Linked DNA regions of Notamacropus eugenii. The protein of the gene in region 3 interacts with the protein of the main gene of each other region in a biochemical or structural test. Links are inferred from orthologs where the notes say so. Each region holds a gene or a part of one and is shown on either strand. Other genes may lie near its edges.

Region 1 (6,901 bases), on a different chromosome or scaffold from region 3:
TTATTAAGGGAATTTATTCTGTGAAGTTTGGATTCTGTGGAAGGGCCACAAATGGCCTTGAGGTTGCAGCATCCCCACCCCTGGAGCACATAGTAAGTATTTAATGAATGCTTGCTGACTTGACTGTTCCTTAAGTCTTTTTGGTATTTTCATCCAGCTCACAGCCACGAATCATCGGTTTCCTCCCAGGCTCTTTCCTTGGCCCCCTGCTCTTTTCCCTTTCTGCTATATTGCTTGGTGATCTCATTTGCTCCCATGGATTCAGTGACAGTCTCTATGCAGGTGATTCTCATATCTATCTGTCCAATTCTAACTAACCTCCAGTGTTCCATCGCCAGCTGCCTACTGGACACCTGGAAATTGATGTCTTGTAGACTCTTTAAGCTCAACATGTCCACATTATCTTTTCTGCCCACAAATCTTACTCTGAACTTCCCTATTTCTTGGGAAGGCAGCACCATCCTCCAGTCATCCAAACTTACAAATGGTGTCATCGTTTCCCCACATACTCACTCCACTTAGCCAATTTGCTGCCAAGTCTAACAACTTTTATATACATTCTCTTTTCTCTACTCACACAGCTGCCATGATAGTACAGGTCCCTATCACCTAAAGATACTCTGGGACTTTTGCAACAACTTTCTGGTTGGCTTCCCTGCTTCAAGTCTTTCCTCACTACAATTCATCTACCACAGAGCTGCTGAAATGATCTTCCTAAAGTAGTCTGACCAATGTTGTGGTCACCACTTCCCACCTACACTCAATAAATATAGTATATACTTAATGTTTACTGGCTGACTACATCTAGAATCAGATATAAAATCTTTGTCATTGAGAGCCCTTCATAATTTGGCCTCAAACACTTCTCAGTTTTATTATATTTTATTCCCTTTCATATGCACTAGTACAACTGAACTTGTCTTCTTTCTGATCTTCACAAACTATTGTTTCATCCCCCATCGCTGTGCCTTTGCATTGGCCATTCCCCATGCCTGGACCTGGTTTCCTTCAAGGTTCTGCTCAAGTGCTACCTTTTTCAGAGATTTTTGCCTTGATCACCCTCACCTTACTCCCAAACGTATATACACACATATGGACGTCTTCTGCCCTGGCTAAAATATAAGTTCTTTAAAGGCAGGGACCTTTTTACTTTTAACTTTCATCTCCAATGCTCAGCATTTCCGGGCACACAGTAGACCCTTGGCAAAGGCTTGTTGATCAATTCAGCATCCCAGTGACTCCTCAGATGAAAAGTGCCTTCCCTAGACACCAAAATATATTCTCTCCCACCTTGTAGAGAGCAGGCAGTACCTAAGTGAACTTTACCACCATGAAGGGGCTCTCTATGAATCTCTTCCACTGAGCTCTTCCTGGAAATTCCATTTTGAGGGAGGGCCCAGACCAGCCATCATTCTAGGGACTTTGCCACCATGTCCCTGTTCTGCTACCTTCTCTCCCCAATCCCAACTTGTTAGTTCCCTGCTTATGTATTATCTTCCCTCCTTAGGATGTTAGCAATTTGAGGGTAGGGACTGTCTTCTTTTTTTTTTTTTTTTTTGCAAGTTATTTGTATCCTTGAGGCTTAGTACAGTGCCTGGCACATAATAAGTGCTTAATAAAAGGACCAGAATTTAAAAATACCTTACAGGACCAGGCTGCAGTCAGTCAATTAACAAAGTACATTTTTTAAAAAATACACAAGAGGAAAGAAAAAGTAGAGATAGAATGAAATATTTTATTTCAAATTAAAATAATAAATTTTGTTGCATCAGTTGTCATGCCTGATCCTTCTAGTGTTTTAATCAATTCTCATTGACTGCCTTTGTATTTACAGAATTTAGCATAGTGCCTGGCACACAGTAAGCACTTAATAAATGCTCTTTTACTCATTCATTCCCCAGCCAGATTCTAAAATAGTCTTATAAAGACACAAACTATATCATAGGGTATAGTGTAGAGAGAGCCTTAACTTCTTTAATGCTATAAAGCCCATTGATCTGCATCAGTGGATGGAGTGAATGTGTACACTGCTGAAATCACATTTCCCACCCTCCTAGAGTGCCAGAGACTCATCAATTTCCTACAAAAGGAATATAACATTTTCTCTCTCTGTCTTTGTTTCTGTGTTTCTCTTTATTTCTGATACTTTCTATTTTTTCTCTCTCTCTCGATCTGTTTCTCTTTCTATACTTCTGTCTCTCTATAAGTTACTGTATCTGTTTCTTTCTCTCTTTGTCGGTCTCTGTTTCTCTCTGGGGGTCTCTCTACACTTCTTCTGTTTCTCTATGTACCTCTCTCTCCTCTAAAACCCTACAGGAAAGAAGGAAAGAAAAAAGCAGGAGGAAAAAGAATGGCTGTGAGACCACAGGAAAGGGACGGCAGGCTCGCAGAGCGAATGTCAGGCTGGAAGCGGCTTCGGGGGCCCCCGGCCCGGACCCCAGAAGCCAGGACGCCCCTCTCTCCAGCCGCGCTTCTCCATCCTCCCGGTCTCAGGACCCCTTTACGTTCTTCAACAAAATAACCGAGGGCCCCTAGAGCTTGTGGGCCGATCCCATGCGGGAATGCTTATCCTTGTCTTATTCATTTCAAGTCACTCATTACCCGTTCGGCTACCACAAACGCACTTTACTCCGACGGTGACCGCAGTCACCCGGCTCCGGAGGCCCCGGGTTCGAGTACCAGCTCGGCCGCCCCAGCGGGGCGAGCCCGGGGCTTCAGTCTCCACACAGCCGAGGGAAGGGGGCTGGGACTCCCCAGAAAGTGGGAGGGGTCCGGCGGAGACAAGCAAGCCCCGGCCACCCTCCTCCCGCGGCTCGCAGACTCACCTGAGCAGGTACGGATCAGCGGGGGCGCCCGGACCCGCCTCCGCGCGCAGACTCCACCGAAGCCGTTGAGATTCGAACGCCCGCCGCCTTCAAACCCGCGCGCTGCGGCCTACGGGGCGGACAGAGGGACAAGCTGCGTGGGAACGCGTTCCCTGCCCGCCTCGCTCCTTCGCTTTCTCTGCCTCTTCCCCTCCCCATTGATTACGGTTCATTATCATGTTGGAGTTCTTGTTTGTACACACAGACATATTCACATATCATCTGTTCTATCTGCAGTCCACCTGTAGATCCTGCTCTATCGTCTCTCCCGATCTCTCCGGCTGTCTCTGCCCCTCTTCCCCTCACCTTCCTGGCGGAGATCCCACCTTCTGCCCACCTTCCCTAACCCCTACTGGAGCACCTCCTATCTGGCCTGTGCGCAGCCCGCTTAGTCTGTATTTCTTCTCCATGGAGGCAGAAACACTTTTTGCTTTTTTTGTCTTCATTCTAGGAGCTTAGCACGGCGCCGTTCACATTGTAGCTACTTCATAACGTTTATTGATTATGATTGATTGACGGACCTAGGCATCCCTTTGTATCTACCTAAGGAGCATTGTGCTCCTTATCATCGCTCATCCATTTATCCATATGTATCTATTTATCTACCTATAGTTACCTAAAGAGCATTCTGTTATCTATCATCTATTATCTCTTTATCCATCCATCCGTCTTTATCCTACATGTATCTATTCATGAACTATCTTCCATTTACGTATACAATCTATTATCTCTGGATATGTGAGTGATTATCAGCTCTCCATCATCTCTCTTTGTCCCTATTTTCCTTACATCAACCTATCTCATCATCTATCTGTCCATTTTTCTCTTTTTTAAAACTTTATTTAGTATCACCCTTTACTGAAAGCAATTTAGACTTTTTTAACTTCCTTTTTTTCAACTTATTTATTTAATTTTAGTTTTCAACATTCACTTTCAGAAGTTTTAAATTTTCTCCCCATTCCTCCCCCTTCTCTCTCCAATGCAAGGTGTGATTAAATTTTGTTTCCACAAAAATTAAATAAAATTATAATTCATATTGATGGTTAATGTCAGAGAAAAAATTGCTTGTATAAGGTGGTGGGTGGGGAATGCTAGTCCTGGAAATCAGCGTATCTACTACAGAAAAACCTCAGTTTATGAATTTAATTCATTCTGAGATTCTGTTCATCGTGTGATTTGTTTGTATTGCAAAGCAAATTTTCCCTTAGAAAATAATGTAAAGTCAGATGACTGGTATCACATCCCCAAACATATTCATGTAAAAATAATTCTTTACAGTTTTAAGTTTTTTGTCCCTAATGGACCCAAAATACAATAGCAATGATTAGTATACAATATAAACTGAAAATGAAATAAATTAACCTACACTTTACTTTTGAGAACAGTCATGGCTGGTATGAGAGAGAGAAGAGGGAGGAGGAGGAGGAGGAAGGGTTATTGCTTGGTAGAAGGATCTCCTATGAGAACATCAGAGATTTCAACCTGGGAAGTGTTTTCTCTTATGTTACTTTCACTAAAAGTAAGACTAACACTACTGCCTTCACTTATTTTGCATTGTTTAGAATCACTTTCATGTTTTGACTTACTGATTGTTTTTTTTTACATTCGCTTCTGACTAGGAATCTATCTAACAACACTTGTCTGACATTTTTTTGATTAATTTGTTTTCAGTTTTCAACAATCACTTCCATAAGTTTGAAATTTTCTCCCATCCTCTCTCCGCTCCCTCCCCATGACAGCATGCAAATCTTATATGAGTTAAAAAAAAAAAATTGCCCTAGTTGAGTGTCCTCCCTTCTCAAGCTACTCAAGTCCAAACATGATGTTTGTACTGCGAATTTTTGTTTGTCCTGCAAGACAAATTTTGTGAAAAATTTTTCCTTGTTCAGCAAAACAGGTTACTTGAAAACTGAGGTTCTAATGTACTTTTCTTTGTTCTGAAAAGGCCTCTCCCTGCATACCAAAAACAACTGCCAGGCCAGCTCTCATCCACAGAGGATAAGAATGAGAGCCATAAACCCACTAATGAGCGTTGAAAAGGTACAGGAACCCAAAGACTGGAAGTCCTTGGGTGGGCCATCCTGAAAGAATTCATGGACTCAATCATTCTTGAGGTCAAAGTGGTAAAGATTTATTACACTTTTCAGCAGGCAAGAGTTCTCAGGGAACCTACAACCTTAGAGGGGTACAATTAAAGTTTATATAGAATATTCTATAGTGAAGTATGTGCCAAAATTGCTAACTAGGTGATTCAGGGTGGGATTAGGGAGTGATTAAGGAGTGGTTAGTTCTTAAAAGAACATGCACTTTTAGTATCTACTGCACAGATATTTTACCCAGAGTTCATCAGAAATAGCCCAAAGAGGGCTTACATGGGTGTGGTTTTAGGCCTAAAATGTCACTAAGTCAACTAATGGCCAGGGTTGACTTGAGAAATACTCAGGCTGCTCCCATCAATATCTTGTTAGAGCAGATAAACTTAAGGAAGTATACACATTTCTAAGTCTAGGATACATATGATTGGTCAGTGAATAGTAAATATCTTTATGAACCAGTACACAGCCAGTTCAGCCAGTACACAGTTGGTTCAAACTAATAAATCCTATAGGTGCTGCTGGCTGCTATATTAGGAAGAAAGATCTATGGCAGGCTGTACTTGGGCTGGGGAAAACTGCCTGGGATAGTGTTTTGAGGCTAGGGAGAAATGTGATTTTAGAGAGAAATGTGATTTTAGAATTGGGATCCAAGCACAGGCACCCAAGCACCCCATCACCATCTTTTTTTATTGATATCCTGGAATCTTCGAACTCACACTTTTGTCAGTTCTCTTAGCAATTGAAAGCTCTTTAATCATGCTATCTGATGTAGACAAAAGGGGAAGGGACTAAGAGTATTCCTTTAAAGAATAAAGTAAATGAAGATGTAATCAAGAGGTAGGGTTTAGTGAACCCTGGAATGTTGATCAATGGGGTTCAAGGCAAAAATTCAAGTCTGGATGAATTATAAAGACTTACATAACTTGCATTATGTGTTCTTACACCAGCTTGAAGGCCAAGTCATCTGTCTTTTAAATGTGAAGTAAAACTCTTTTTTTTTTCTAAATTCCCTCATAGCCTTGTAGAATTCTTGGTTATTTCTAACACCAAAATGGCATGCAATCTGATATGGGCTCTACACATACATTCCTATTAAACGCATTTTCACATTAGTCATGTTTCATAGAAGAATTATAATGAACAGGAGAAACCATGAGAAAGAGAAAAAGAAAAAAATAGTCTGCTTCATTCTGCACTCTGACTCCATAGTTCTTTCTCTGGATGTGGGTGGCATTTTCCATCATGAATCCTTTGGAAATATTTTAGGTCCTTGCATTGCTGAGTAGGGCTAAGCCTATCAAAATCAGTCATTGAACACTATGGCTGTTACTGTGTACAATGTTCTTCAAGTTCTGTTTACTTCACTCAGCATCAGTTCACGTAAATCTTTCAAGGTTTTTCTGAAGTCTGTCTTTTCATCATTTCTTATAGCACAATAGTATTCCATTACATTCATATACCACAGCTTGTTTAGCCATTCCTTCAATTTCTAGTTCTTGGCCACCACTAAAAGAGCTGCTATAAATACTTTTGTACATGTAGGTCCTTTTCCCATTTTTATGATCTCTTTGGGATACAATTCTAGAAGTAGTATTATTGGGTCAAAAAGTATGCACATTTTTATAGCCCTTTGGACATATTGCTCTCCATAATGGTTGGATCAGTTCATAGCTCCACCAGCTATGAATTAGTGTTCCAGTTTTCCACATCTCCAACATTTATCATTTTCCTGTTTTGTCATGTTAGCCAATCTGATAGGTGTGACGAGGTACCTCAGAGTTGTTTTGATTTGTATCTCTCTAATCAATAGTGAATTAGAGCATTTTTTCATGTAAATACAGATAGCTTTAATTTCTTCCTCTGAAAACTGCCTGTCCATATCCTTTGACCATTTATCAGTTGAGGAATGATTTGTATTCTTGTAAATTTGACTCAGTTCTC
Region 2 (7,946 bases), on a different chromosome or scaffold from region 3:
GTCCTAACAGCACACCCCAAACAATTCCCTCTAGTTGACTGGTAAGAAAGCCATAATAGGTATGCTGTAAGGTCATACATAGAAAAAGCTGGCAAGCTGTCCCAGGGTGTTGGGGAGGGGCTTGCTGGTGGAGAAGAGGAGCACTTTAGAGATGCCTGTCCTGTTTTCCAGGAAGAGGGGATAAACTGAGGAGGTTGATCACAATTTTTATACCAAGAAAGTATTTCACTCCCACCATTCACCAATGTCCCGGGCTCAGCCAAAGCTCAATGTGATCCTAACCAGTAACCTTTTGTGTCCGTTTCTAGTCAGGTCATACCAACCCATGGGGTAAAGAGGGCCCATTTCCACATGAAGCCTTTTCTTTACCCAGCTGACTCTATAGAGTCAATGGTGTATCATTTGCCCGTGTTTCTACTGGATTGGAGTTCTTTTCCCCTTCTTGAGGCCATGGTCTAAAAGTTTCTCTGCAAGCAGCCCTATCCCACTTTTGGATGGAGAGAGTGAAGCTACTTGCTATCTCCCCAAGTCCTCCCCACCCCATCTATCCTTTCACACATAGGCAGAGTCACTTGATTGAGTCCTGCCAAAATTGGGAACACTGACCCGAGGCAGGTCCTTGTTGCGGATCTCATAGACAGACTTCCTCTTGGCCTGTGCACCACGCACAGCCAGCTTAATCTTGCGCCAGCCCAGGTGGTTGAGTTCAGCCAGATTGAGGACAACACAGATGCCACTCACAGCAAACATGAATACGAGGAAGACTGTCTTCTCTGTGGGCCGGGAAACATAGCACTCTACCTCCTTGATACAGGGGTAGCGGTCACATTCATACAGTCCAGGGACACTGAAGCCATAAAGGAAGTATTGGCCTACCAGGAACCCAATTTCTAGGGCATTACGGAAAACCACCTGGATGATGTAGAAGCGGGAGATGCCCTCTTGCCGACGGAGCTTGGAGCGTGCTGCTGTGCGCAACCCTGATGGGTGTGGGGCCAACTCCTTCACCTCTAGACAGTCTGGCTCGTTCTCCTTGCTAGTATTCTCTGTGTTCTGTAGTACTCCATTTACAATGGCATTTTGAAGCTTCTTATTGTCTTCTCGCTTTCCCCCACCACTGCCCCCACCCCCAGCCCCTCCAGGACCCCCAATCGATTCAGGAGGGTCCCTGTCCAGGGCGAGGAAGACAGTAGAGTAACGGCGTTCCCTCTGTTTGGCAGACTGATGCACTGAGTAAGTGATGAAGCAGAGGCTAGGGGTGCACACCATGATGATCTGGAAGACCCAGTAGCGGATATGAGAGATGGGGAAGGCTCGGTCATAGCAGGCTTGGTTGCAGCCTGGCTGCAGGGTATTGCACACAAACATGGTCTGCTCATCATCATACACAGTCTCACCCACTATGGCCACGATGAGGATCCGGAAGATCACCACCACTGTCAGCAGGATCCTGGGAGGGAAGTAGGGAGGGAGAAAGAAAGAATGTCATGGGCTGAGAGTCACTCAGTGGCCTGCTGCTGGCTTAGGGATCCCCTGCTCCTCCCATCCCATCCCTGGTGTTTCCCTGGTGCTTTGGCTGAGGAGCTGTCCACCATTCAGTGGTCCTGAACTAAGAATCTGAGAGCAATTATGCTTTCAGCTTTCTGACCATCTGGGATTTGTACACCTCCGTTTCAGAGGTCCCGAGTATATACGCAAATATTTTGGAGACGTGTGTATATGCAAGAGATTCAGATACATCTATACATAATGCATCTCTACATAATACATATATATTCATTATGTATATGGCATAGACACACAATTACATCAAATGCAAACTAGGGATATGTATCGTGTGAATGGACTCCATAAATGTTCATTCTCTATGTAAATATTATCCCTAATGTTATATTTAAAATAGTCTATTTATATGTATAAACACACAAAAATAATCCTGGTGTATGTGTGTGTTTCTCACACTATAAGCTTTCTTGAATAAATCGAGGAAAGAAGCTTCAGCCTCAAAGGATGACTCCATCTCCCTCTTCGCCCTTCTCTCTCCAAACACCATACTCCCTTCCAGCTTCTATTTAGGAAACAGAAGGGAGATCAGCTCTGACTCGGAGCACTAGGGGACCCAACAACCTGTGCCCAGAGTTCCGGTTCTGATGGGGGAAGAGTTACCCCATGGAAGGGGCCTCCCAGCAAGAGATCAACTTTCAGGAAGATCCCGGGGAGAGAAGGAAATAACTGGAAGAGAGAGGGGCAGTTCTGGGCTTGGGATGGTCCCGCCATATCCAGAACCCATGGGCCCAGGCAAGAGGGAGGGAAAGACGGGGGAGGGGAAGGGGCGCGAAAGAGGACTCGAATCGGTGAGGAAAGGGGGCCATGGGAAGGGGTGGACGCTGTGAGGCTCTGGTCCAGCGCGGCTTGGCTCCCTTACCTCCCAATCATAGTGGAATGTTGCTGTACGGCGGCTTCCAGCAGCCTCTCTAAGATGGTCCATTCCCCCATCGCTGTGCATTCGGAGGCAGCAGACAAAGACTGGGCAGCGCTGGGCACGTCCCTGCTCCTGGCCCCCTCCCCAGTCACCACCCGACAACGGGGGCTAAAGACCAAAAATAAGAGCAAAATAAACCTAATCCACTACTCTTCCCCCTCCCTCCCTTTTTTCTTTTTCTTTTTTTCACTTAAAAGAGAGGGGGGAAATCCAAGCGAGTCCAGAGAAATGGGGTAGCAGCTGGTGCTGTCCAGGGACTAGGGCACCAACCGGTCAGTTGCTGTCCAGCCTGGGGAAGATTCCCTGTGTGGCTTCGTCCAGGCAGGGGGTGGGGGCGACTGGGAGAATGTACTGGTCACTAGGCTGCTGCTAGCTGGAAAGAGATCTCTTGCTCCTGTTTCCCAGTCGGGTGGGTTGGGGGGGAACCAAGGTCCCTGCCTTGTCTCTGTGTCCCAGGGCAGCCCGACCCTTGTCTTGCAGCCTCAAACAGTGCAGGCTGGTGCCTTACTTCCCGCCTCCGAGGCCGGGCCGGGATCGCGACCCTGAATGCACAGAGGGAGCAGACTGGGAATCCGCGTCTTGCCGCCTCTAATCCTCCCTTAAGTAGTCTCTGCTTGCGTCACTCCAGGTTGGTGGAGGGGAGTGAGCGCCGGCGTGTTGTAGCTGCGCTCCCAAGCCCGAGGGGCTGGGGACTTGTGGAAAGGCAGGAGAAGGGTGGGAGAGAGGGAGGAGGCTGAGTCTTGGGTGTCCCAATTGAGCGAGGGGGGAGGGGGCAGGGAGTAGGGAGGAACCATCTCAGCTTCCCTAACTGGCCAACTGCAGCTTCCTCCTCGCTAAGCGGCTCAAAGCATTCCCTCCCTGCCCGCCCAGGTAGCACCGGGAGCTCACCTGCCCGCCAGACTACGCCTGTAGCCAGGGAGAAGATGGGAATGGGAGGTGAGGAGCTTGGGGCCATGAGTGAAGGGATGAGGGCAACTGTGTCTTTTCTTCTCAACCATTCATTAGTATTCAGCCCCATTTTTCTCCTTTCATCTAGTGTACGCACAGGGGGCTCAGAGTTGGGATTTCCCCTCGAAAGACGCACGAATGGGGCTGATTTAAAAGCTCTAGCAAGGATGCAGGTAATCGCTGTCTGTGAACAGGGCTGGAAATAAGGGGCTCCGTGGGCCTGTGGAGATTTGGCGACATAGGTGCGAATACCCTTAGGGGGACAGTGAACGTAGCTGTGAACGGGCCTGTGTGTATGTCTATGGCGAGAGAAGTATGTGTCCACTTATGTATATGCATATGTCTATCTGAATGGGTACTAACGTATGTACAGTGCAGTGATTGTATGTGGACGCCCCCTTATTTATGTTAATAGGAGAGCTAAGGAACAGAACCACTTCTGACAGATTGTGCATAACCACCCTCCTAATTTGGACAAGGATAGGCACAAACTTTGTCTAAACCGGACATATAGCATCACTCCTACTTGCTTCTTTCTCTTTTTGCACACCCACTGCCTTCCCAAATAAGCCCAGCTTAATTTCTGAGCCCCTATTTGCTTTGGGTTGCCAGATCTGCCTCTGTAAAATGTTCAATTAGCGGCTAGGAATTCTTTCACACCAGGATGCTCGTTAGCTTAAGGCTAGACATTTGAAGATATTGATAGTTTTCAAAGTTTTGGAGTATTTTCCACCAGCATAAGAAAAGAAAATGCTTGGTGTTCCTACTCTTAAAAGAAGCCTTGTGAATGTGTCAGCATTTCTTCTTAGAAGCATAATGCTCTCAGAATTGTTTCCATCTATATGGGAGATCACATACATGTGTGGCTTAAACCACACAGAGAAGAAAGAATTACGAGTCTTTTAGTTGCAGCAGACCCTGAACTTTGTTTTAGGTAACAATCTCAGACTTTTGAGATAATGACAATTCTGAAGCATAGACTCAGTATAGAAAAAGGTTTTATTTGTACATGACTTCAGGCAAAAGGAAAAATCATTTCAAAACCTAGGGAGCTTCATTTTTTCTGTTCTCCCCAGAGTTAGCTACTATTGTTGTTTAATATTTGATAACGTAAGAGCACTTTCACAGCAGTTCACACAAGAAAATAAAGTAGAACTAGAATAGGGAAGATGTAAATGAAACATCAAGTGATGATTATGAAGTTAGAGTGGATATCCTTCACTGATCTTTTACTTCTTTTGTCTCTGACAAAATGGGGCTTTAATAAAACCCTGCTCCTGATGACTGTTGAAGGACTTGATGTGTTTTGATTCTCACTTTAAGGCATCAAATGTGTTGGTGAAGAGGAAATAATGACTGCAAAGAGCTAGAATGACTTCGTCAAAAACAGATCATGTCAGACTAACCTTATTTCCACTTTTGACAGGATTACTAAAGTATTAACTCAGGAGAATGCTGCAAATATAGTTTATGTGGATTTTTTACAAAGCATTTTAAAAAATGTCCCATTCTATTGTAGGAAAATGGAGATATATGATCACATGATAATTCAGTTATATGAATCAGAGACTCGTTGATTGGCCGCATTCAAAGATTAATGGCTAATAGTTGGATCAGCTTAGTAGAAGGTGTCCAGGGAAGTGTCTCGGGAATCTGTGTTTGGTTTTGTGCTATTTAACAACGTTTTTATCATTAATTAAAGGCAGAGATAGCATATTTATTGAATATGCAGCTAACACAAAGTTGGTAATATTACAAAGAAAAATTAAGACTCAGAAAGACCTTCATAGGCTAGAGGAGTGGTTTAAATATAATCAGATGAAATTCAATAGGGACAAATACAATGATTCATTCTTGAATTCAAATAAATCAGAAGTTTAGCGTGGGAGAAACATTCCAAGATAGCAATTTGCCTAAAAAAAGACCTGGGGATTTTGGTGGACCACAAGCTCTATATGTGTGAATAGTGTAATATGGCAACCAAAAGAGCTTATGTAATCTTGGGTTACATTAAAAGAGGCGTAGCCTCTAGTAATGAGGAGATCATAGCGCCATCAATTTAAAGTTGGAAGGTACCTTAGAGGTTATCAAGTCCAACCCTATTATTTCAAGAATAAGGAAATCAAGTCCCAGAAAGTCAAAGTGACTGGTCACACAGGCAATGGAGCCAAGATTCACATTCAGGCTCACTAACTCTGTGATTCCCTGTCCTTTCCACTGTACCACACTAGCTCTGAACAGTTCCTCTATATTCTTGCTGGTCAAACCACAGATGAGTATTGCGTTCAATTAGCTCTGGATGCAACTGTTTAGTAAAGATATTGGTAAGTTGGAGAGCCCTTAGAGAAGGACAACCAGGGTGCTGGAAGGCTTGGAGTGTAGGTAACGTAAGAATCAATCAGAGGAATGCAATGTATTTACCCTGGATAAAGGAAGATTTGGAGGTGGAGGAGGGTGAGGTAGAGAACATAATAGCTGATTTCATGCATTTGAAGGACTGTCATGTGGAAGAAGAATTATATGGACCCAGAGATTAGAATCAAGGACAATTTCACAGAAATTTCATAGAAGCAAATTTAGGGTTGATGTCAGGAAAAATTTCTCCACAATTAAAGCTGTTCAAAATTGGAACAGGTTGTCTCATTGGTTTTGCCTTCACTGGAAGTCTTCAGTAAAGCTTTGTTCAGTGAACATTTGTTGGGTATGTGATAGTGGGATTGCTGCCAGGGTTCCTTCCAATTCTACAATGTTGTGATTCTTGTGCTTCTTCAACTAAGACTCCTAGAAAGATTCTCCAACATTCTCTTTTCCCATTTTATCCCTGTTCTCTGGTTCTCCTGTTTGGAGTATGTTTTGATGAAAGGGATTTCAGTAAATGGGAACAAGTAGGTAAAAAAAGGTAAAGAAAAATAAATCAAGGATAACCTGAAGTAAAAGTAGTGGTAATATTTTTATCTGGTTGTGACTGAGAGTGTTAGAATGTAATGCATGATACATTGATCATTATATAAATATATGTAGTTATCATTTCATGTATTTGAATGTGGTCCTAAGAACATTCATTTTGTCTCAGTTTGTGGTTTCATCAGGGAATCTTCTCAATGTAGAAACTCCCTCCCTTGATATAAATCAGATACTCATCTGTAACTTATCATCCTAGGGGCTGAGATAGACTAACTTCTCCATGATCCCACAAAAGGTATATGTCAGAAAAAGGACAGGAACTCAACTCATCCTGATTTCAAGACTAGCTCTCTATCGATTACTTCCCATAGACTATTAAAAAGATATATATCTCTATTTATACATGCAGAGAATTTTAGTTTCCAAGACCACTCATCTGATATGACATGAAGTCAACTGTGTTTACATAAGCCAACAATTTGTATCCCACCACACATAAAGTTTGCAAAGATATTAATTTATAGTGTTCTATGGCAACTGTGGTCTATGTCCTTCCTTGTCCTTCCTAGGATAATGAATTTAGTATAGAAAAGCACCTCAACAAAATTTAGAATAGAAAAACACCTCAGTAGTACAGGTCCAACTTCTTCATTTTGTAGAGTAGGAATCTGAAGTCCAGAGAGGTTAAATAGTTTGCTGAAAGTCATAGAGCTAATAAGAGTCTATAGGAGGATTTGAAGCCAGGTCTTAAGTTTAGGACTCTTCACAACAATGTAATGGTCATTCTCATCTTCAGTTTAAAACTCTGCTCATACTGCAGTATCTTAGTCTGCTATGTAGTTAGATTGGCAAGCTTTGGAGTTTGTCCATTAGTATACCTATCTTGGACAGACACTTCAAATAGACAATGAGCTAAGTCCAGGATTGAACAGGAGCAGAGCAGGTCTTTGGAAAATTGTCATGTTCTCTTACTAATGCCTTGATTCTATCCAAAACAAAGACATCATTTTAACACCAATATTCTTCTGGTATTGCCATATAGCTGTGAGTTATTGAACACTACAGTCTCCAAAGAATCGAAGCTAAGATCACCCAAAGAGCAGTGGAAAGGCAAATGGGAGTTGTGAGCTGGCTATAGCATATTATGAAAAACAAGCATACAGAAGAAATGTTGCAACATGTACAATCAAAAAAATACGTGATAACAAAAGATGGGCTGATCACATATTGATAGTGAGGCATAACCAATGGCTGACCACATAAGCCATTGGAAGCCTTGACATTACTTCAGAGTATACAATGCCATTCTAACTTTCCTGCCCCTTTTTGCTTACCTTATCTCTTTTCAACATAGCATATACACTCTCTTGCCTCCTATGATCTTTTCAATGTCTCTCTTGTCAATCTTGTCTTTTTTTGTGGGGAAAAATGCTTCCCATATTTTACTTACTCTATGATACCTTGTGTGGTAGATAAATGTAAACAGTTTTTCCAGTATAAAGTCTTTCTGTTTAGATTTTCAAGACTTCAGGAAAATATATTCATAATAGCCTCTGTTAGGTTACTCCATCCCTGGTCAGGAGCCCACCATCTTATTAAAATATAATCCATG
Region 3 (7,741 bases):
TCTTCTGGAATCTTGTGTTTGTTTTAAAACAATTCTCTACTGCACCTGTCTTGTATAATTGTGTCATCATTTTTTGCGTGTCAGCCAATGAGCCCCTACCACTGATTCTCCATGTTTGCTGTTAACAGCTTCAGTCTGTGTGTGTTGAAAGATGGAGATAACTAGAGACACTGATTTCCCTCCACCCCCAACATCCACAGCTAGATTGCCTCCTAGTTCTACTACAGTTCTCTCTCTTTGACTCTAATTTGTTGTCACAGACCCAGTACAAAGGGGCTGCCTCCAGTAATGTACTGCTAAAGGTTTAGTAAACAGTACTCTGAGAAAAAAAAATGTATACATGACATGCTTTTAAGTTTAATTTGATTTATTCACATTTTCTCCATCCCTTTATTATTCTAAACAACCAACAAAACAATAAAATCAAGTCCTGATTTGTAGCATTTGTCAGTTTCTGATATGCTCTCACTGAAGTTCTAATGAGCATGTCCACACTCTTCATGGGGAAATGTATGTATGATAGGTCTTTTCTCAGGTGTCCATATCAAGTAGACTCCCTTGATCAACTTCCTACATGGGTACAGTCTGATTCACTCATTATATTGTCAGTTCTATGAGGGCAGAGTCTGAGTCAGAGATACTAGTGTTTAACACAAGCTGGCAGACAAGTTCTTCTCCCCTCTCAAAGGGAACACCCTTCCAGTAGCAAAAGAAGTGCCTTTGTTTTTGTAATGAGCATTTGTATTCAGCCTTATTATTGCAAAAGAAGGTACTCAACTTTTGAGCCACATTTACAACCTAGTACTTTCTCCTTTCTTTTAGAGGGATTTCTGTTTTCGTTTTCTTTTTTGCAAGTCTCTTCTCTCCCCCACCCCCCACCCCAATATCCATAGCAGTTTCCAAAAGGCAGAAATGAAGAAAGGGGAAATAAATTTTGGTTGGCGGCAAAATGGCCCAATCTTCATTTGGGAATCTTCTTAAGCGTCTAACTTTCCTGAAAGAGTTTGCAGGCTAGGTCAGTCTGGGCTTGGAATTTTGTCCACCCCAGGGAAAGTTCCTTACTGATAAAATCATGGGTACTAATCAACAAACAAACAAACAAACAAGTAAGTGAAAGTTAAATATCCCGCAGGCATTTAAAGTTTAGATTTGCCCCAGTGTCCTGGACCAGAACTATCCCTCCCCCAATAGTCATTCAGTATGCTCCAGCATGATCTGGATGATCCCAAGCCAGATTGGATTTCAGTTTTAAGGTGGCAAAGTTTAAGGTACAGTCAAGAAGGGCTTTTAATAGTCCTCATAGATATCTCTCTCTCTCTGATATGAAGCACCGTGCCTTGCCTATGGGATCAAAGACTGCCTTGCCTATGAGATCAAAGACTTTTGAAGCAAGAAAAGACCTTAAGAAGTTTTCTGTTCATTTTACAGATCCATCTTTTTGCATTCCCCCAGCTGCTAAATGCTCCCTACACCTCTGGAAATTATCTTGTATACTTAATACGTAGAAATATCTATGTACATATATCTATTCCTATTTATACATGTTTTATCCAATAGAATGTAAGGCAGAAACTTAATTTTTTTTATCCCTAGTGCCTAGTTTGTCTTCAAGTTTTAAAGAAAGGGCTTAATTATAGGGAAACCTAGAGCTCTTAGTGATCAAGTGACCTGCTCAAGGTCACAAAGGTAATGAGTGACAGAGCAAGAATTCAAACCTAGGTTTTCTTACTCAAAATCCAGTAGTACTGTTTCCAGTCCTTCCTTGTTATTCTGTCAGTGATCAATCGTGTCTAACTCTTCATGACCCCATTTGGGGTTTTTCTTGGCAAAGATGCTGCAGTGGTTTGCCATTTCCTTTTCCAGATCATTTTACAGATGAGGAAACTGAGGCAACCAGGATTAAGTGACTTGCCCAGGGTCACACAGCTAGTAAGTATATGGGGCTGGATTTGAACTCAGGAAGATGAGTCTTCCTCACTCCAGGTCTGGTGCTCTATCCACTGTACTTGCCTAGCTGTCTTCCATTTTCCTCACATTAGAGATGGGGCAGCTGGTAGTACGGTGTATAAAGTGTTGGCTCTGGAGCCAGGAAGAGCTAAGTTCAAATCCTACTTCAGACATTTTCTAGCTGAGTGACCCTGGGCAAGTCATTTCACCTCTACCTCCATTTCTTCATCTGTTACATGGAGATAATAGCACTTATCTCCTAGAGTTGTTGCAAGGATGAAGTGAGGCACCTTCAATGTTATATAAATGGTAGTTATTATTATTTATTATTACTGTTAATAATAATATAGTAATAATAAATTAAGGTTCAGAGAGGCAGAGACTTATTCAAGCTTACAGATCCAGGGTACTTTGGCACTCTAGCACAGTCATAATGCCTTCCTACTGTCTAAGGGCACTATGAGGGTCTGAGATGAGAAGGAAACACCTGCCCCATTTAACTCAGAATTGGCATAAAAATAAGATTAGGTAATGTCTACTAATAGCAACTCACATTTGAATAGCACTTTACATTTTCCAGAAAGCTTTCTTCACAACTCTGTGAGGCAGGTGGTATATGTATCTGCATTCCAGTTTTACAGGTAAAGAAATAGAGACTCAGTTTAAGTGACTCCCTAGTAAGTCACAAAACTAATAAATGTTAGAACCAGAGTCTCAAAAACAGGCTTTTAGATGCCAAGTTCGATGGATGCCTTTTCCATTATGTCAGGTACTTACTCTATTTGTTCTATTGAATTGGTTATCATATCGACACCCAAAGTCTCACCTTTTGAAAGGCAGCTGTAGTGGGTAAAGAGATGGTCTCAGTGGCAGGGAGGGCTCTCTCGTTGCTCTAGGCAGCTGTTGGATAGTTACAGAGAAGGTGCCCATATGCATGGGAAAAGGCAATTTTTCTGCTGGGAAGTTCCCAATACTGATGAAATCATACATCCAGTCCAAAAAAAAATGACGCCTTTTAAAATGAGCATTTGCATAAGGGGAAGTACGAGGGAAGGGAGAAAGAAGAAATACTTGAGAATTCTAGCACCTTTATCCCCAAGAGGGCAAAAGCAATTTTTAGAACCACTGTGTTGCAAGGAACCCCCTAAAATTATCTAGGCCATTCTTGAAAGAAAAATAGGCTGCCCTATTTTTCAAGGCCTCCAGGGCAGGAGATTCCACAGTTTCCCCAGGTGGTACATTCCAGTGCATAGTCTAAATTGTTCAAGGATCCTGGAAAGAGGCCACAAAAATATAAAATATTAAAATTCAATTATGAATGAATGAATAAATCCTTGTTTACCACACTCCCTCACATTTGCTCTTTAATATTCTCGTAATAGCCCATTTTGTCATGAGGTAAGTGGCATTACCCTTATTTTTCCTGGTGGAAAAAAGGCTGAATGGCATACAGCCCAGGGTCATACAATAAGCTAGGAATAGAAATAACTTCTGACTCCTCCTTCCTGTCTCTAACTAGCAGGCAAAGTAGCCTTATTAATAGCATTCTAATCTGAATCATTTAAATTACTTGTAATTGCAGGCCTACAAAGAATTGTAACTGCCCCGTGCCAGCTGAGCAAGCTGTAATGGGCATGACTACTGTTACAAACGTCTAAGTCTGTCATTGGAACACAAAAAATGCATTTTCAAAGTTGGAACATCTCATTTGAAAATAGCAGCCCATCCTCCTGGTTAAGAGTGTGGTGCAGGGTCACCCTCCCTCCAAAACAAAACAAAAAATTGGATTTTGAGTCAGAAGACGTGGGTTTGAATTCAAGTTCTGCCAGCTGTCAACTCTAATCCTCAGAGCCTCAGTTTCCTTCCCTGAAAACAAGGAGGGAGGACTACAGGATTTCTTAAAGTTCTTTTCAGCCCTAACATTCTGAGTGAAGTATGAATGAGGTCCAACAAAATTAATTCATTTAACAACACTTTCATGTCTACAATGTGCTGGGCACAGTATGTATGATATTTAAATAAAAAATCAAACAACCCCTGCCCCAGAGGAACTTATACTCTAGTAAAGAAAACAATATGTGCACAGATAAGTTGGTTATAAAACTTATACAAGTAAACACAAAGGTTTTTGGGGTTTTTTAAAGTTTTTATTATTCTATTAGAGATAGATTTCTGGAAAAGAGCAAATGATATCCATTCAAAAAAGCTATTGAATTTCATGGGGTCCTAGAAGTAGAGCAGGAAGATCATTCAGTCCCTCCCTTCCCCATATTTTACAAAAGAGGAACTTAGTCCCAGAGGTTAAGTGACTGGCACCAAGGTCACTTGGCAGGGAGCAGATTTTGGATTTGAACTCGGGTCTTTTGACTGCCTCTTCAGCTAGCTCTCTACACTACTTCAGTTTCTACGCAACCGATCTTCACGTGTGCTTGGGTTAAATCAAGTAAGTTCCTATCACGTTTGGGTGTTTAAATTTCTCGTTTAACTCTTCAGCAGTCAACAGAGCTGTTAACAGAGTTAGGGAGCTGTGTCGTGATGAAAACAACCCAGGAGCAGGCAGGTTGGGTTGTGACTTAAAAAAGAAAGTAAATACCTGACTGCAAATGACTCTAACTGAATAATTCGCACCTGGCTGCAGGTATTCAGGTAAATGACAGGTACGGAGGAATTTACTGACTGGTTCCCTCACTAAGGTCGAAGCCACGAAGATTATCTTTTCAGGGTTCTGTGTGATGTCACACATTTCCTGCTCCAGGCCAACCAATACCATTCATTCTTCCTCCCCGCAGACACCTGCAGAAGGAAGGCAAATGCGGTGTCAGGACGGACCCGACGGAGTTTGATTGACTTACGTGCTAGGGATGCGTGTGCTCTGCCAGACTGTGGCCAGCTTCAAAAACCCTAACACCTGGAAAGGTGAGTTGAAACGCCCATTTTCTCTCTGGATAGTTAGACCACTGGTCACATTGTTCCGAACAGGAAACAGGAAAGAAATTGGCCGAGTGAGTACAACTTTAGTTTTTTCTCAGGAGAGGGGAGCTCCTTCTGGGAGAGAAGTTGGATGCCTAATGGATCTTCTGGTTAAAGCCACATGGCTAACTAATGCTGCCTTTTGAAACAATTAATTCAGCCTCTTCCTTTCTGGGATATTGATTTTTTTTTCCTTCCCTTCCCCCCATAAAACGGAACTGCCTAGGTGAGAGGAGTTGACAGGTATTTGTAATTGGATTTGGAATTGTAGCTTTCTTTAATCTGTAGTGTTAATTTCAATGGGGAGAGGGTAAGTTTTCATTATGCTAATTTCAGGGTGGGGGAGGGGAGACTTTTATAATGCTAATTTCAGTTGTGAGGTGGGGACTGCAGGGCACTCTTAGAATCTGGTCAACTCCCTCTGCATTTAACTTTTTGCTTTTATCGCAGTTCATTTCTACCTGAAATTGTAAAAAATTGTTTTTTTCCTTAAAAGTATTTTCAAAGCACCTCTTGTTTGCCCACTCAATACTTCCTAAGATTGTAAGTTCAGTTTTTCCTTATGTCCCCTCCAGCCCACCCACATCGCAATATTCCTGATCCCTAAACTTTTTTTGAAGAAGGCAAATATTTGATCTTTGTCCTCAATTGTACAATCTGTTGTCACAGGGAGACTGGGATCTGGATTAGAATATTTTATACTTAGCCATGTGTTTACTAAACTTTTAGCTCAGGTAAAATGGATTATCCTTTCTGAGCTTCACAAATGGGGTACAAAGGTTTTTTCTCCCTCTGTGCTACCCACCCCCCTTGCTTTTAACAGCAAATAAACTGTTTAGTAGGTTGTTCTGCCAGGACCTTCCTTACTTTTTTTCCCCTCCTAAATGTAACTTTAGCTCTGGGACCCATTTTTTTTTTGTTTCCTTAATAAAGATCTCACAGCTAGTACACCCTGCAGCCTCACCCTCAGTGTGCCAACTTACACTGGAGGCATTTAGATGGGGGGTGAGGGGGAGAAGAATCTGTGGCGTGCAAGCCACACACAATACTGGGGAGCCAGGGCCTGGCTGTGGGAAATCCAGGCAGAGAAGCAGCACTGTGAGGTGCAACGTTCCAAACTCCTACATCAGCTGTTTTGCTGAGACAAGTTAGCAAAAAAAAAAAAAAAAAGTTTGTAAGGAAGTGATCTGTTAGCAATTATGCTGATAGTCATCCACCCCAAAAGTCAAAGTGCACATTCATTCTCCAAAAGTAGAAATGGAAACAATCTGGGGAAGTTTGTTTCGGACAGAGTAACCTCTCACTGAGCCAAACTAGTCCTGCTGTGGCTGCCAATTCCTCTTACTCCTTGGAGACCACTATTGTTCTCCTCTCTGACCTTTCTGTCCTTTTTTTCTGAGCTCATGTGCTTGGCCGGTGGCTACTGCCTTTGCCTTATTAGAACTGGGATCCAACACAATATCTACCCAAGATGTAACGCATGTGAAAAATGATAAAACCTCTCTTAAGTGGGATTATCTTCCTCCAGTTAACTGTGGTTCAGTAGTACCTTGCTCAATAGTTCACTTCTTTTTTAAGCACTAATATTTGAGCCTTAGTCAAATAATTTTATTTCTTCATCTCTCCTTCTCTCCTCTCCTTCTCTCCGTCTCCCTCTCTGTTTGTCTCTTTCTGTCTGTCTCTTTCTCTGTGCTTGTAGGTATGTATGTATATTAAAGAGGGCAAGTCTATAAGCAAACGTATAATGGGGGAGAAAAGGAATTGTGAGTAGGGAGAGAGAAGGAAAAAGGGGGACAAAGGATAGAATCATAGATTTAGAGTGAAACCTTTCATGCTATCTAGTCTGATGCCCTTATTTTACAGATGAAGAAACTAAGGCCCAGAGATTTGAAGTAACCTGCTGAAGGTCACAAAGATTCAGAGAGAGAGGGAGAGGAAAGATGGAAGTGGGGGTGGGGGAATAAAGTCAGTGCTCAGTGATTGGGATTCAGGGTAAAACATTCTATTCTAGAATGGAGCCAAGGTCATGGTTCAGTGGCTCACTGGGGTAATCTGTACTTTTTTTTTTAGTAGATTGAGGCTTTGCTAAGAGATGGCCATTTAAGGAGTCCAATTTTATTTAAAGTTTCCCTGGGCTACCTGAGGAACTTCATCTAAAGGACTATTGGGAACACAGATTTTAATAATCATGATAGTAATTGTTATTATAAATTGTGAATTATTAAATTCATCATTGATAATTCCCATAAAACCTAACAAAAGAAAGGAGTGAAGCAGAAGCAAGGCTTTTGAATTTCCTCCATAAAGGAGGTTGAGCTGATTGCCACCAAGTCTCCAGCAGAAGGAAGGAACTGCTGTGCCCTGTCTGCTCTGTCCCACCTGCTACCCCCCTTCCCCCCTCTCCTTCCACCCACCCTAGAGAGCAGCAAATGCAGGGCATCCCACAAACCACTGGGCAAATGCTCCATTGTTGTCTGGAGTAATGTGATGGTGACAGAGTTTTTCAGTACAGTTCAACAAAGGTTTCTTAAGTGCCTACCTGGCTGTGAATATTAATCCCAGGAAGATCTCCTATCAAGGGGTTGATATATCTACAAAACTGAAAAATGGCCCTTTCCCTGCCTCACTGGGAACTTCCATTCTACTGAGGGTGGAAAAAATAACATGCAAAAAGCAAACAAGATTGAGTATATCTGACAGAAGAAATTCAGATAAAGTATTATTCTAAGGAAATGTGAGGATCAGAGACCACTTTCAGTTTGGTGGGGCAGGGAAGGCAAATGGGATCAGCCATGCTCTTTCTTGGTCATAGATCTAAAGCTGG
Region 4 (7,863 bases), on a different chromosome or scaffold from region 3:
ATGAGGCATATCAAACAAGCAGGACAGCTTTGAATGCTACATATTGACTTAATTATTACAGGTGGCTACGGTGGATATAATGTTGGACAGAGTCCGTAGGTCTAAGTTTGAATTCAGAATCAGCCATTCTATAAAATAAAATATTAATAATAGCACTTAATTCACCCAAATGTAGTGAGGATCAAATATATGTAAGGCACTTTGCAAGCCTTAAAGCACTATGTAAAAGCTAATTTTTATTATTATTAAAAGCAAACTGTATATACATAAAAGATTTTAAGTTTCAGGTACAAGTCTTCCTGTTCTACTACGGATATGTAAATGTACCTTTATTTGGAGTTGTTAAGTTCAGCAAGGAAAAATAAAATTTGAAATAAAATGAGTTAAGTACCTTTTTTTTGTTTCGCATTTTCATTTCAATTGTTCCACACAGTGGAAACTGCCCAATTTGTCCCGTAAGAAAGTGGCTGTTTTGTTTTGTTGGGAATCTGGGGTGGAGAGAGCAAACTCACCCTCTACCCGGTGTTATTGCCAAAAGGTGAGAAAAAAGCTATTACAGCTGTGATTTCATTTGGTTCCATTTTAATAATTAATGAATTGTGAGTTGCTAAAGTTATAATTATTTTGTTTGCCGGTCAAGACCCAGATCTCCATAGGGTGTCACAAGAATAAAACAATGAACTCAGTCTCAGGCCTGTGCTCGCTTTTCGAAGTATCCTTCAAAAGTATCACTTGCCTTCTTCTAAAACCTGATTATCTCAGTGCTGAAAAGGAACAGTAACCAGGTTACTGTGGTCCAGAGTCTGTTTCATTTCTGCTAAGTCCCCAAAGGAGGGAGTCAAAAGACAATGAAAGCGCCCAGAGCTGTGGACTTCCACCTCCGGGAAACTTCCAAGATCTAGCCAAGGATGGTTGGCGGCGGAGAACAATCACGAAAATCAACAAAAAAGGGGGCTTTCTAAAGCTTCCTCCTAGTCTGCGCCAGCACAGTTTCCCAATCCATGGCTGACTCAGTCTAGATCAGAAAGGAAACACAGAACTTTGCATCTACAGCCCAGACCCGCTGTCTGCCCCAATCCTCAAGTTGTCTCTAAGAGTCTGTCGGTCCTAGTGGCACTTAGATGGGACCTCTTCAAGCACCCCCACTTTCCCCCCCACCCACATCCCCCCACCCACCCACCCACCCACCACTCCAGATGGAATCCCCACCCCCAACAAGGAGGTCTGGATTCTTTAGCCCAAGAGGAGGGGGAGAGAAGCAAGGGGAGGAAGTAAAGGGGTGGGGAGAAAAGGCTTGGGGGGGGGGGGTGCTGCTGCGCGCCCCCGCCCTCCCCACGCTATGTGGCAGAGCTCGGTGTTCTGCGCAGCCGGCCCGGGGTTACTCTCGGTCATTCTAGCTGCGCCGCCGTCTCCACACAGAGACAAGCAGCAAAGACCAAAATTGGGGGGTAGGGGGTGGGCTGGAGTCAAGGAGGTAAAACAGAATCGCACCACAGATTACATTAATCCACCATCTCCCCCCACTTTTGAAAAATATGCATATGTTCACCAGGTAAGATCTATTAGCAGAACCACACAAATGTTAATTAGAAATTATTAGAACTATGCTGAAAATTGGAGCGGGGCGGGGGGGGACAGAATGATCAAAGCCATGAGAAGGGGTTAAACTGTTTAAGGAACGTCCCGGGTTACACAAGAAAAGCTTTGTCAGTTACAAGTAATCAGCAAGAACACAGCTCGATGCCTTTCTTGTGGGTTGCCCAGAGGAGCAAGCGAAGGAACCGTCTCCCAGCTAAAAAAGCGCACGAACCAGAAAACCAAAAAGGGGGTTCGGGAAGAGTCCTGTATCCCTCAACAAAGGCGAGGGAGTTCCTGCTGCACCAGGTACTGCTCGTCCTCCCTTCGGTCCACAAAAACTCTGAATTCCGCTCCCGCAGGTCTCCCCCCAAAAGTGGTTCGCGTGCTCCCCTTTAACGTCCTTCTCCCACCCCACTTTCCCCGGACTCAGCCTCGCGGTCGGCAGGATGGACAAAGAAAGGGGCCCCGTACCCTTGGTCCCCGCGGATCCCAAGGGATGCTCGTCTTTCTCTCAGGAGGAGACAAGCCTCCCGACCTCGTCCCGAGAAGAGAGTGATGACGAAATGGAGAAGGGGGAATTGTTTTCATGCTCCCAAAGCACAGAAACCCTGCCCAGAGGCGAGAGAAGGCAGGCAGATGTGGGGGTCCTCCCCTCCACCCAACAGTAAGAACAAATCACAAAAATCAGACTTTTCCTCTTCCGAAAGAAAAAAGGGGACCCCCCCTACACACACACACACACACACACACACACACACACACACAGCAAAATCTTAACTTGTTGGAGAGCTCTTACCTGCTTTCCCGCTTTTGTTTCTGCCACTCTCTCCCCTGAGCCTTTGGAAATATTTGTGCAAAACAAAGCAAAAATTTAAAAATAGAGAGAGAGCCAAAAAATGGGCTCTCGCCCCCGATAACCCTTTAGTGCCAAGCTCTGCTTTAGCTTTCCTGCGGGCAGCAACGGGCTCCCGCTTCTCTGCTTAGCACACGGTCCTCAGTCCCTCTCTCCCAGAATTAAGGGTTTTTTAGCCTGGACTAGTTCCTTTTATAGATTCGGCTGCGCTCAACAGCGGGGTTATTATCGGTCAAACTCTGTTCTCTTTCTCTTCCCCACCCCCTACTTCCCGGCTCTCTGTTTATGTAGTTCAGTCACTCACCGAAAGCACGTGGAGGAGCGACACGCCCCTTAAAAGGGCGACAGGCAGGAGACCCGCTCTCCCCCAACCCCTTCCCCCGCCTCCCCTCCTCTCCCTAGCCGCTGAGTGGTGGATGGGATGAACTGAGGCAGGTCTCCAGGAGGGAGTCTGCCCAGGATCACTTCCAGAAAAGCCCTCGCTGTACAATGGCCTGCGCTTCGTGCTCCCGTCTGCAGTCCAGACAGCCCGACGTTTCAGATAATCCTCTCAAGCTCCAAAGTATCTGGAAAAACCAAGCCACTTAGAAGTAAAGGAGAGAAGCAAGGAAGAAGCCCACTTTCTCCCCTTCCTCTGGGGGGCGGGGGCTTGAGTGGGAGCAAACTGCTTGACAAGCCCCCCCCTGCCCTCCCCTTTTTTGATCCTAGTTTCGTTTTCTGTGCTTGGGGACCCAGGCTAGAGACAGACCTTGAGGGTGGAGGGCGCTTTCTCTCATTTTCTCCAACCCGAACGACTTAACTCTTAAAGTCAAGGGTGTAATTAAAGACTTTCTCCTCCCCCTTCAACCCCTTCCTCGAATCCTGCCCCTTTGCCCAGAGGGCGATACTACGTCAGAGTCTGCTAGTGCAAGTGAGAGACCCACTTGCTCTGTCTTCTCCCCCTTTCCCCCCTCAACAAGCACTCAGGACATCCTCCTGTGTGGGAGAGGGGAGGAAGGGTTTGTGTGGTTGAATTCCTGAGAGACTCCACACACACACACTTGGGGCCAGCGTCCAGTTTAGAAAATAATCTTTATTCTCTGTACACAATGACAAACAAAACATATTGTCAACATGCTCTTTTTGCGTTGTATAGATGATTCATAGAGAACCAGTCCCTAGGCTTGGTAATTACATTATAACTCTGCCCAGCCAAACCCTTTTCTGAACAAACATTACGTCCGCAGATCTGAGTTCTAGTCTCACATATGCATTTGTTTTAACTCTGTGACCCTGGGCAAATTACTTAGGAGTTTTCTGCCTTATTTTCTTCATCTGTAAACTGTAGCTAATAGTAATATCTATCCCCTACCTGCCTCACAGGCATGTTATGAAAATGAATAAAACATTTGTTGAAACACTTTGAGCCTCTCAGAAGAAAGGCTCTATAAACAGAGAAGGTACTATTATATGGTTGGTTGGCAGCCATGGCCCATAAAGCAGTGTTGCTCTGATAGGATGTTTTCCCATACATTGCATTTAAAAACCGAAAGCCAACAAAAATTTATGAAGTTTTGCTACATCTGAGCAGGCAGAGCTGGTCTAGTTTTATGAGTAAATAGAGTTGGCCGGGTCTTGCCTTAAATAGCCTGAGTGTTGGGCTTGAAGGGATGATAGAGATCATGTCAGAGGAAATTGAGTATGTGTGAAAATCACCCTGGTTTGGGAGTAAAATGATCAGGGCTACAATCCAGGAGCCAGCTTCTTTTCTCAAAGTTACTAATGACAGGTTTCTCAGTGAGAAGGGAAAGAAGAGAGGGAGAGAGCAAATTTGGAACTCAAAACTTTAAAAAATAAATGTTAAAAATTGTTCTGACATGTAATTGGAAATATATGTATATACGTGTGTATATATACATATGTGTGTACATATATAAATATATACACAATGTGTGCATTTGTACATAAATGTGTCTGTATATACCTACACATATATGTGTGCCTGTGTATATAGCGTGTGTAGGTATGGGGGTATATATACATATATGTATATACACAAACACACATACCTACACACACACATATAATTTAAAGTTACTAGTGTCAGGGGCAGCTAGGTGGTGCAGCGGATAGAGCATGGGTCCTGGAGTCAGGAGGACCTGAGTTCTAACACTTCAGCTTGTCTGAAACTGAAGTAGGCAATGAGGTGGTGCAGCAGATCAAGTGTTGAAGTTGGAATCAAGGACACCTCAGTTTAAATCCTACGTCACACATTACTTAGCCATGTGACACTAAGCAAGTCACCTTAACCTCACTCAGCCTAGGTTTCTTCATCTCTAAGAGGAGGACAGATAATAGTGTTTTCCTCACAGCATTGTTGTGGGGCTCCAATGAAATAATGTGCAAAGCACTTCACACCCCTGCCAGTTATTGTTATAATTCCTCCCTGTACTGGCAAGTAAAATAGAATCTTTTGCTGTTTTTGTTTTATTAAAAGTACCTCTGATTGAATAATGTGATTGGGGAGGATCTCTCCCATCTTTTGAGGGGACCTTGATTAGGGGAGTTGTTGTGTAGGAAGGTCCCAAGTACCTTTTGTTTTTTCTATTGAGGCACTGGGTCAGAGGGTTGTGTGTGTTCATCCTTCATTGCTAGAGAAGACCATGCCATCAGAGAGATGATAACATGACTTGCACTTGACTTTGTTTTGAGTGAAAAGAGGGCTGTGCAGGTCACCAGCCTCACTTCTCCTCCAGAGCCATCTGAATCCAGTGACCAGATATTCATCAGGATGACTGGAGATGACTCAGGATGAGGCAATTGGGGTTAAGTGACTTGCCCAAGGTCACACAGCTGGTGAGTGTTAAAGTGTCTGAGGTGAGATTTGAACTCAGGTCCTCCTGACTCCTGCACTAGTGCTCTATCTACTGCACCACCTAACTGCCCAAGGTCAGAGGGTTATAAATACTCAGAGGATGAGGTTTTACTTTGAGAGGCTTAGTTTTTGGAAGAAGGTCTATGTGCCAGATGAGACTCTGGGAAGCCACTAAGCAACCCCTCCCCAGCTTTTTTGAAAACCCAGATATTGATGCTTCCCTGTCTGGTTAAGATGTATGTATGTTAGTGGTCAGGCAGTTTGGAAGCGCTATCTGTTGATTTTTGACTTCTCTGAAATATTGACTTTGATTTTTTCTGATACCTGTGCTTAATTAAAGTGATTATTAATCACTTTTATTATTATTAATCACAATTAAAGTAATTGTTAAACCCTCAAAAGTTGCATTTCCCTTTGTGAATGCAAATCTAAGAACCTGTGATAGCAGGTCCCCCTGTATATGGTGGGGTGCTTAGTGCTACACTCCCCAAAAAACCTGTCCTTCCTCCTCTAATTTCCATTCTTATTGATGGCCCCATGACTGGTTAGATCACCCATGCTCAAAACCTCAGGGCCAGGTTTGGCTCTTCCTTCTCCCTCATTCCCTCAATCTCCTGCATTGCCAAGTTCTTTTATTCTGTTCCTACAATATCTTTTATCCCTCCCCTCCTTTATACTCCAAGTGTCACATTCCAGTTCAGGCCCTTGTCATCTATTGTCTCCCTACTTTTGCCCTTGCTCCTAGGCCTTTATCTTTCCAATCTGTCTTTTACGGAGCTTCCAAAACAAGCTTCCTAATGCACCAGTCTGGTCCAAGTCAGTAACATTGAGCACTTCATCATTTCCTACAAAGTAATACCAATTCCCACTTCTGACATTCAAGGCCCCCTGCAATATGGCATTATTTCACTACGCTCTCCTTCATATATACATATTCCAGACAAATTGATGCACTGGCTATTCCCTAAACTGATCCTGCTTTCTCCAAACTGTGCATTTACATCATACATACTCCATGACTAGAGTGGATTCTGTGTGATTTGGACATATTTCCCTTCATTCAAGATCCAGTTCAGATTCCATTTTATCAAGGAGGGAGGAGGCTTGTCCAGTGCTTCTGGTGAAAATCGGTACCTGTCTCTCCAATCTCTCATCCATTTCTAGTTGACCTTTCTTATACACTTATCACACATGATCAAAGGTTTAGAACCTGAAGTAACCTTAGAAGTCAACTGGTCTAACCCACTCATTTTACAGAAAAAGAAACAGACCAATAGAGGCTAAGTGACTTGACTAAGGGTTATACAGACAATAAAGAGCAGAGCCAAGTTTCAAATCTAGATCAAACCTAGGATGACAAGTCCAATATATTTGCCATTATACTGCACTCTCTTATAGTTACCATATATACATGTCACCACTAACTCTATGATATTGTAAACTCCTTGAGGGTAAGGACAATGTAATTTTTCATTTTTGTGTCCCTGGTACCCACACATAGTGGGGACTTAATAATTTTAAAATTCTAATTTGTTGTGAAGAACACACTTTGTAAATCATAAAACATTATATATAAATACAAGTTATTATCATCTAACCTATTCCCTCTCAATTTTGAAAATGAGATAATTGAACCTCAGAGAAGTTGTGATTGAACATGGTCACATAGGTAGTGAGTGGTGGAAACATGATCAGAGCCAATGAAAACTTGGCACAATAGATTCAGAATCAAAGGACCTGGGTTTAAAGCCTACCTCTATTGGTAATTAACCATGTGACTTTGGGAAGTTTTCTCATCTGTAAAATGAGAGGATTGGATTGAATGACCTCTAAGAACTGTCCCTTCCAGTGTTAAATCTAAGATCCTACAAACCCCACATGTTGCCTCTGCCTCCCACTTGTCTTAAATCCTGAAATTCCACTACTGAAAGATTTATTATTTTAGTTCCGGAAAGCATTTTGATCAACTTGTCCAGAGAAATATCTTGGTGTTTGATCAACCATCTGAATAGCTGAGGGTAAGGCTCTATGGTGTACATAAATAACTTAGGGTAAGTTGGTTGGGGCTTTAGGGAGGAAGGGGTCTGGGGAAGGGATACAGAGGTAGGGAAAAATGAAGAAAAGACGAATGTTCCAAAGACAAATTTCACCTACTTCATAATTCTACCCAAGTCCTGCCCTGAAAAGTGCAGAATTCATGAACCACAGGCACCAAATCTTTGCCCAGACAAAGAGTAAAGGATAAGAAAGGGTCGAAGATGACTGAGGCTTTCAGTCTGACTTCCTGGAAGAATCATTTCTAGTGTATATGTTATAATTTGACTGCTTCCTATGATTAAAATAGCTACCTCTCAATTTCTATGTCTATAAGACATGGGAAAGCAAGGACACTGAGGCTCCAGGTACTTATATGTCTTGGGGAAATTGAAGTGACCAGAGAAGAAAGTGAAGAAGAAATTGTCCAAGTTGAAAAAAGACAGTAGAGGCCTGCTATCTGTACCATTAGAGGGATTACCTATATCAGGGATGGGGAATCTGCAGCCTCAAGGACACATGTGGCCTTCTAGGTTCTCAGGTG

What was found.
Region 1: of the proteins of LNX1 (region 3) and PBK, one has a biochemical effect on the other in vitro, tested with the Homo sapiens proteins (2 studies listed by BioGRID and IntAct, with this or other methods). The link is inferred for Notamacropus eugenii from reciprocal best matches to the Homo sapiens genes LNX1 and PBK.
Region 2: the proteins of LNX1 (region 3) and GJD2 form a complex in vitro, tested with the Homo sapiens proteins (2 studies listed by BioGRID and IntAct, with this or other methods). The link is inferred for Notamacropus eugenii from reciprocal best matches to the Homo sapiens genes LNX1 and GJD2.
Region 4: of the proteins of LNX1 (region 3) and ABCA1, one has a biochemical effect on the other in vitro, tested with the Homo sapiens proteins (2 studies listed by BioGRID and IntAct, with this or other methods). The link is inferred for Notamacropus eugenii from reciprocal best matches to the Homo sapiens genes LNX1 and ABCA1.

The regions. Positions count from the first base shown.
Region 1 is NC_092872.1:524,127,137-524,134,037, reverse strand, and holds the start of PBK (lymphokine-activated killer T-cell-originated protein kinase), read right to left. Parts: upstream 3,009-6,901; 5' UTR 2,826-3,008; exon of another isoform or gene 2,625-2,825; intron 1-2,624. UniProt on the Homo sapiens protein: Phosphorylates MAP kinase p38. Seems to be active only in mitosis. May also play a role in the activation of lymphoid cells.
Region 2 is NC_092878.1:19,548,183-19,556,128, forward strand, and holds the start of GJD2 (gap junction delta-2 protein), read right to left. Parts: upstream 3,012-7,946; 5' UTR 2,497-3,011; coding exon 2,426-2,496; intron 1,451-2,425; coding exon 553-1,450; 3' UTR 1-552. UniProt on the Homo sapiens protein: One gap junction consists of a cluster of closely packed pairs of transmembrane channels, the connexons, through which materials of low MW diffuse from one cell to a neighboring cell.
Region 3 is NC_092877.1:105,074,854-105,082,594, reverse strand, and holds the start of LNX1 (E3 ubiquitin-protein ligase LNX), read left to right. Parts: upstream 1-4,733; 5' UTR 4,734-4,863; intron 4,864-4,865; exon of another isoform or gene 4,866-4,949; intron 4,950-7,741.
Region 4 is NC_092872.1:61,855,375-61,863,237, reverse strand, and holds the start of ABCA1 (phospholipid-transporting ATPase ABCA1), read right to left. Parts: upstream 3,004-7,863; 5' UTR 2,375-3,003; intron 2,291-2,374; exon of another isoform or gene 2,050-2,290; intron 1-2,049. UniProt on the Homo sapiens protein: Catalyzes the translocation of specific phospholipids from the cytoplasmic to the extracellular/lumenal leaflet of membrane coupled to the hydrolysis of ATP.